Linked DNA regions of Styela clava. The protein of the gene in region 1 purifies or fractionates together with the protein of each later gene. This does not show direct contact. Links are inferred from orthologs where the notes say so. Each region holds a gene or a part of one and is shown on either strand. Other genes may lie near its edges. The genes, in order: cyclin-dependent kinase 7-like and CDK-activating kinase assembly factor MAT1-like.

Region 1 (3,936 bases):
AAATCCTGTCTAAATTTTGTGGAAACACGGTAAGAAGTGCTGTACAGTGTACAAAACTGCTATGCGTAAAAAGCCACATGATCATTCTTTGTGTAGCAAATTTTTGTTCCTTTGAGAAGATCGTAAAAAGGAAACTTTCACAGATTAGAATTTAAATTCAATTCAATTTCTTTTGTTTTTTTGAAGATTTATGTATTCGAGTCGCCACCGATCCTAATACCCAGTAAAATTAACCAAAGCTTTCTACATCTTTTCACGGCCCACTGAGATTTCTTTTGCGACCCACCAGTGGGTCGCGACCCATAGTTTGGGAAACGCTGGTCTATAAAGTTTTTGTGGGTTTTAAATAAAATGGAAGTGTCCATTGAAGTTTCACTCCTCACTGCCAAATGAATCTGTATTCAGTTCACAGAAACGCATTTAACTTGCAATAATGTAGGTCAACAATCATTTTTGTCAAGACTGATCTCTGAATTCAGTCAAGATAAATGACTTGAAGCTTGACAAGTTAATTTTCGTAAACAAATGGAATTCTTGTGCTAAAATTTTTTGTAATATACAAATTTAATTTAAAATGAAAACTCCCACAAAATAATATTAAAAAGTGCATCCAGTTAACCGGTGCTCCAGGAGTATGTGTACCTAATTTTACGTCCAATATGGACGTAACTAACGAACTAATGTTCGCCTACTTTACATCAAGTTGTGCACAGGGACTGATTACCATGTTGCTTACTGAAGAGTCATATTTAAATCTCATAGATGCTCAAATTCATACTACAATCCATCCCTTTTTCTCAACAATGACAGAGCATTAACATGATGTATAACACTAGAATTAAGGCGGTTTTAATTCCTACCTCGTAACAACTTGATGTGTATATTCTCTGCTTGGACTTCCAAATGATTTAGCCAAACCAAAATCACCAATTTTCAAAATTCCTTCTGCATCAATCAATAAATTGTTGGGCTTCAAATCCTATTGAGGTGTGAAGAGAATGGGATAATGAATAGATTCTTGAATAATGCAAATCAAGATACAACAGTAAACACACCTACCCTGTGCAAAATCCATTGTGAATGCAGATATTCCAGGCCTTTTAATGTCATTATTGTGTAAGCTTTAATGTGACTCTGGGTCAGTACAATACTTGTGTCCTTAATTATTACTTCCAAATCAGTCTCCATGAAATCGAACACTAGACTGATGTTCGACTTTTGTCCAAATACATCCAAAAGCTAGAAATCAATATTACACAAATAAAACACTCAGAAAAATAGGCAAATATGAATAAAGGTTGTAAATACTTATACATATATGATGTAAGTCCCCAACCGGTAGTAATTTTCTTATGTTCTTATGGGTTGGGGATGGGGAATATCACTTTGCATTTGAAGTGGATTCACAAATAAGTAATTATTTCAATTTGTATTTATGGATATATTATAAACTATTCATATTGTGCAAAGTCAGAGTGAAAGTTGTGAATAGTATTAACTAAGGATTCATTAATGATTGAACAAATAACGGAAACAACAGTTTTTATACATAGTGAGGGAGGAATTTGTCGGAAAAGGTTGGGAACCATTGGTAAATAAGTCATACACTCCAAGATATTTTGGTATATATTGGATGCAAAAATTATGCAGTAAGAACTTATAAAAACATATCCTCAATATTTTGATAGGCAAATCACAATAAAAAAATACCACGTAGTATCACATACAGATACTGGTATTTTCTTGAAGTAAGACATATGCGGTCACTGCTCACTGTGAAATTATCACAAAGACATGTAAAATTTTTGCATTAAAATGTATACATTATCATAGTAATACAAATAATTTACCCCAATGATATTTTCATGATGTAGTTCTTGCAATAACTTTATCTCTCTCAGGGCAGTTCTATTAATCCCATCTTTTGCTTCAATTCTATTTCCCAGCTTGATTTTCTTCACAGCAACAATTCTATTGTCATTTTCAGTATCTTTAGCCTTGTATACTGTTGCAAATTGACCTTCTCCAAGAAATTCCACTTTCTCATATCTAAGGGTTTTGTCTGTCATATTGTTAGCATACTTACCAATTTTTAGGTATTTTGGTGCTGAAAAACAGTGATTTGCAAGAAAAAAAATGTTAACAAAAAAAAATTATTTATACCAGATTTGATAATTTTTACGCTTTGTTGTTACTAATTATTTCTCACGAATTGAATAATCAGATATTAATTTATCAGAGATAGCCTACACGATGTACTTCGAACATCAGAACATAAATGTAAGAGATAATTCATATAATAAAGCAAGAAATAATTCATTATTTTGAACATTAATTCAAATCTTACATTTTGAAATATTTGCTATCTAAATTTATCAAAGGAACAAATTCCATGTTATAGATATGGAATAAGAACCATACATTACAAAATACCAATTCAACCTTTCAGACTCTCAGTGTTGTTATTTATGATAATTTTGAATATAAATAGAATTCAACTGTCATCATGACTCTTATTACGCAAATGTCTTCTGTTTTTTTTATTAATAGATTTAAATTGATGTTTTCCACTTGAAGATGAAGAGGCATCATCATTGTCAACAGGGTTGAGTCTTGAAATTGAATCATCTAATTTTGCTGCTATTTCACTAGCAAATTCGGCAGCTGAGATATTTTCTTCTAAATGATCAAGTTCAACTTTATCGCACAGAATTTCATCACTATTTATATTCGGTTTCGAGTCTGTTTTCCTCTTATTTTCATTCGGCACACCAGCTGCATGCTCTGGCATTTTAAAAACGTGCTGTTTCGATGTAACAGAGCATTCATTTTCCAGTGATGTAGAATCTTCTTTATTACTTAGTTCACGTAAAAATTGGAAAGCAATTTGTGTATTGCTTTTATTGTCACTCAGCTCTGTATCCCTCAAGCTGTATTTTGTATAACGAGATGGATTGACTAAGAAGTCAGGCTTGGGAGGCTTTATCAGAGCTTTAGATTTATTGTTGCTGACTTTTTTAATCCTGCAATCATTGTCATCTTGTTCACTATCATCAGATTCAATCGCACTATCTGAAGATATCATGTTAGAGGCTGAAGAATCAATTCCAGAAAAAATTTCATGCATTTTGGATGCAAAAACAGGATTTTCGCATGAAATCGTGAATCCTGGACTTTTTTCATCAGTATCCATAGTTGCCACCTGAAAGTACTTAGGATCAAATTACCATAAATCTAAAAACAGAAAAAAATTAAAAAAACTTTTCCATCAAATTATGCACCAAAAAAAAAAAACGATTTACCATTTAATTTGTTGCTTATCAATTAAAAAATCAAAAATATGAAACTTTCATTTGTTATAAAACCAAAACCAATTAATCTAATGTAATTTATTCAAGGCCCATGTACGTCGTTCAATATCTTCTTGTAATTGATTGTATTCATTCACAATAACATTAAATGAGTCCCCAAGGTTTCTAAACTCAGTGAGTTGCTGCTCAATGGCAACAATCTCTTGATGATTATTTCTTTTACGTTTCAATAATTCTGACCTAACTGATTGCAATGCAATAATGCTATCTCGAGTATAAACAGATTTTTGTAATTTTACAGTCATTGAAGAAATTTTTAAAGACAGAGCTTCACAGCGTGAAAGTAAATTAGAAAAGTGTTCATCATCTCTTTTAGGTTGTAATATTAATCTATATTTTTCAATAACTTTCATAAGATATTCCGCAGATTCCAATATTTCTTTAGCACATGAGTTATATAGTTGCTTTTCAGTTCGTTGGGAATCTGCAATCTCTTGCCTACGCATTTGTAATTTTTTCTTGTCTTGACGAATTATTTCCCCAAGTTTAATTGTTCTGGCATTTTGTATTTTAGATGATGAATTTTCAATTGAATTTATAGAATCATGGTAACCTAGCAGTCTTT
Region 2 (3,936 bases), on another chromosome or scaffold:
TTGTCACTACAATGATGTCCCATGATTAAATAAATTGTTAATAAATTGCACCATATTGAACATACCTGAGTAGTGGCAAGCCATGTATCTAGTTCAGGCCAAAGATAAGAGTAATCACAATACCAGAACTGAATATTCTGCAAAAATCCATAATTTTTTCCCCGAAGAATAGAAACCTGATGAATTACAGTATGTTAAATTTGAATTACCTTGAATATGCCTCTTGAGATCATTTTGACGTTTTTCATTCTCTATTTGATCTTGCCAGTATGCCTTTTCTTGACTAATTCGAGCTTGATTGCGACGTATTAAAGCTTCATTTTCGAACTTATAAGCAGCAACTTTTGCACGGGTTGCCTCTATATTTATGCCTGATATAAGACTGTCAATAATAACTTCTACTTCTTCAAGATAATCATTGTATTCTCGCAATGACCCAAAGTCTGTTTCTTGTTTGTTGTAAATCTTCATTATCTGTTTTCGCACATCAACCTCTTTGTCTACACCTTGAATCAAAAGAGCTGGATTCAACTGCCAAGACTCATTTCAATTTACCAGTCATGGCCCGGAGATGTATCTTATTAATATGCGGGGAAATAATGTGTTCCTTATTAGTAATTACAGCAATTTTGCATATTATTTATCTTCCCTATAGAAATGTATCGGATCTAAAACTTAAAGTGAATAATGGAGCAACTTTTCTCAAATAAACAGGGTGACCCAAAGAAAAAACGAACCCAGGTCAGTTAGAACATCTCAGAGAAAACATAACTTTTGTGAAGTGCGTCATAAATTATTCAACCTTTTGAAATCATTGACAAACAAAAGTTCAAGTGGGATGAATCACCCTGTGTCGGGAAAATTTGCTGAATAAAAGTAAATACTGCCTCATACTACTGCAGATAGAAATATAATTCACTTAAACTTATGATGGAATTATGACAGTACCCTAGCAGTGTCTCTGCCATTATTGGGTAACGCCCGATTTGCATTATTAAATATGTATAGGGGCTTATAATTTTTTTCTTATGCATATTAAACACACACATTAAGTTAGAAATATATTATAAACTGAATATTTTTCAAATCAAACATTCTACAGCAGTAGTAAAACCTCCATGTACAAAAGAAAAAGTTACAAAACCGTTTACAGTAACACAACACAAGGTAACCTGTATCTTCAAACAACTGAGTTCGAAATCCACTTCTCCTGAGAGGCAATCCACATTCTGGACATGACCCAGACTCCCTGACAAAAAGGAGATCAACACATGCCTCACACAATGCATGCCCACAAACATTTATCATTAATCGAAGTGAAGGATTCCTATATTTCGTCATACGGCATCTTGGGCAACTCAAGTCTTCCATTTTCACCTGAAGACAAAAAATAGAATACAAATTTAAAATGCGATAGCCTAGCGTTTAAAGCATGGGTGTGCAAGCGGGCCAGATACAAGTAGCGTAACTGGGTGAAACCGCAGGCCACACCTTATTTAACATAGGCTTTCTAGTAGTTGCAGGCACAAAAAGTTTGGATATTGATATTATGACATGCGTTTTTCACCTCGCACAAGCTAGTTTCGGGCATTGTAATGTCATACACATAAATTGGACTCAGGCATGGGCTTTGCAAGACGAAAAGATTGGGGGATCCAGATTAAACTAAAGTAAAAACTCGTTTCGCGGGTCGCACACCATTCAAAATTGGCACTTCTATGCGGGTTGCAAAGATTTTCCTTGCAGGCCACGCAGGTTGCACAACCCTGGTTTTAAGCATTAGACTTAGCTATGTTACCATCATAAGTTACACATCTTTGGTACAAATCACATGATCACTAACATATTGGACAGGCAAAGTCGAATCGGGAAGATTTTGGTTTTATCAAAATAGTATCTCCCTATTATTGAGTGGCTGCTTATGCATGATTTGCTCGAAGCAAATTGCATCAATAAGCATTGCAAAAAAAAATAAAAAATAGTGGAATAAAACCACAGACGCAGGATAATAGTAAGAAGTGTATATCAAATCAAAAAGAATAAGTAAAATAATAAACTTAATATCTAAGAAAAGAATACTAATAAATTTTGCTTACCTACTTTTCAATTTAGCTGTGAAATGAATGAAGAAAATGTATTTTCAATCACTACCGTTTACCACCATAATGATAGGCCATTCTAGGCTCACAAGTTTATCAGATGCAAAAATCTGGATGAAATATCATGAATTAGCAATCTGGTACAGGTAGGTACGTGGTTCCATAGGTTTATTAGCCCATTGAGGTTAAATAAATATACTGGAGCATGTGATACAAAATCATCACACTCGTATGGTAATGAAAACAGCCTTATATACATTTTTAAGAGAAAATATAGGCATATATACATCAGTCTTACTTACCAATCACAGTAGAAGTGGGAGGTAAGTAATGTATTATGATTTCATATGACTTGACAGGCTTAAACAATAATTAAAGCTGTTAACAACAACGGATGTAAGAGAACAAATATAAACAATATAAAAATAATTTTAATAATAATATCATTTCATGCTACAGACAAGAAAAATGAAATAAAAAATAACGGCAATAGGGTAAAAGTTAATACATTTTACCACTCATTTAGTTTTGTGAAAAGTAACACTGAATATTGATAAACTCATGCTTTCGAAACACAATCTAAAAATCAATATCTCACAGATGAAAAAATATCTTACCACATATATGAAAAGCAAATAACAGTTCCACTGAGACGTATAACTAGGGATGTTGGGATATCTATATTTGAAGAGTTTGGTATTTTAGAAGTGTGGCCAACAATGATATTAAATAACGTAAACACACTTTGCAAAAAACATGTTAATTTTACTCAAAAGAAAAACCATGACGCCACAGTGAAATTGGTTACAGAAATCATAATTTCGATTATCTGAATCATTGAAAAAATCCTTTTTCAGGTATTTCTAATGTTCAATTCGTTCAAAGTATTTTGTTTTACACTGAACCCATAATCAAAGAAAGTTATAATGATACTTGGTAGCCCACTTGGGCTATTATGGGGTAGGTAATTTGAATGAAGCTTCGGCACATTCCTCTTGCCAACTAATGTGTTACTGACCTATGAACCATACTTGATTAACCCTCCATGCTATATTTAGAAAACTATAGAGAAATTTAACATAAATTATTAAAAATAGGTGCATGTGCATGACGCATACAGGGAAATGAACAATAGGATGAATAAAAGTGCTTATTCATTGAAATTGAAAAGTAATTATTGGGGATTCATTTATTGACATCCAGCCAATGCTCAGCAAATAGGTACAACAGGAATGGGCCCACAATCTTAGTAATTCAAGGAAACACAAAAATGATATTGAATTTAATGGCTATAAATAATAAAGGCATCACATTGTTTGTGTTTATTTCACAGCACAGAAAGTCATAGCTGTAGGCAGTATAGCAATAGGTTATAAAACAATAAAACAAATTTACAAGGCAACAACACAAGTAACAATTCCAAGCAATTGAAAGGTATACAACAAATTTTTTCCAAGTGAGGCTTTTTATTTTAAATATGGAAAACAACATTTTTTGGCTCAACGCTCAAGTATTCATTATTAATATTATACAGTTTCAGAACAACTATCATTCCATCATATTCCATGTTTACTTCAATTCAAACTCTTGCCATTCTTAATAATAATAAAACATAGGTTTCACATAATGACTGATATTATAGTAAATCCATAAGGCTGCAATACAAGTCTGAACAGTAGGTCATGTAAGAATAGTGAATTTATTACTCTAAGCAAGTGCCCTTTTCTCAATTAATTCAATTTCAGGTGAGAGTCCCCTCATGAATAAAATATATATGCACAGGTATCGAATTTGCAAATAGCTTCCAACAGTGTCCATGAAATACCATAAAAAAAAA

What was found.
Region 2: the proteins of cyclin-dependent kinase 7-like (region 1) and CDK-activating kinase assembly factor MAT1-like purify together in Drosophila melanogaster (affinity purification with western blotting; 3 studies listed by BioGRID, with this or other methods). This does not show direct contact. The link is inferred for Styela clava from reciprocal best matches to the Drosophila melanogaster genes Cdk7 and Mat1.

The regions. Positions count from the first base shown.
Region 1 is NC_135257.1:7,017,391-7,021,326, forward strand, and holds the start of cyclin-dependent kinase 7-like, read right to left. Parts: upstream 2,220-3,936; 5' UTR 2,070-2,219; coding exon 1,851-2,069; intron 1,240-1,850; coding exon 1,060-1,239; intron 980-1,059; coding exon 861-979; intron 1-860. Other genes in the region: uncharacterized protein LOC120345846, read right to left, coding at 2,495-3,193; HAUS augmin-like complex subunit 4, read right to left, coding at 3,380-3,936.
Region 2 is NC_135252.1:4,392,036-4,395,971, reverse strand, and holds the start of CDK-activating kinase assembly factor MAT1-like, read right to left. Parts: upstream 2,430-3,936; 5' UTR 2,402-2,429; intron 2,210-2,401; 5' UTR 2,101-2,209; exon of another isoform or gene 2,097-2,100; intron 1,378-2,096; 5' UTR 1,372-1,377; coding exon 1,173-1,371; intron 507-1,172; coding exon 210-506; intron 1-209.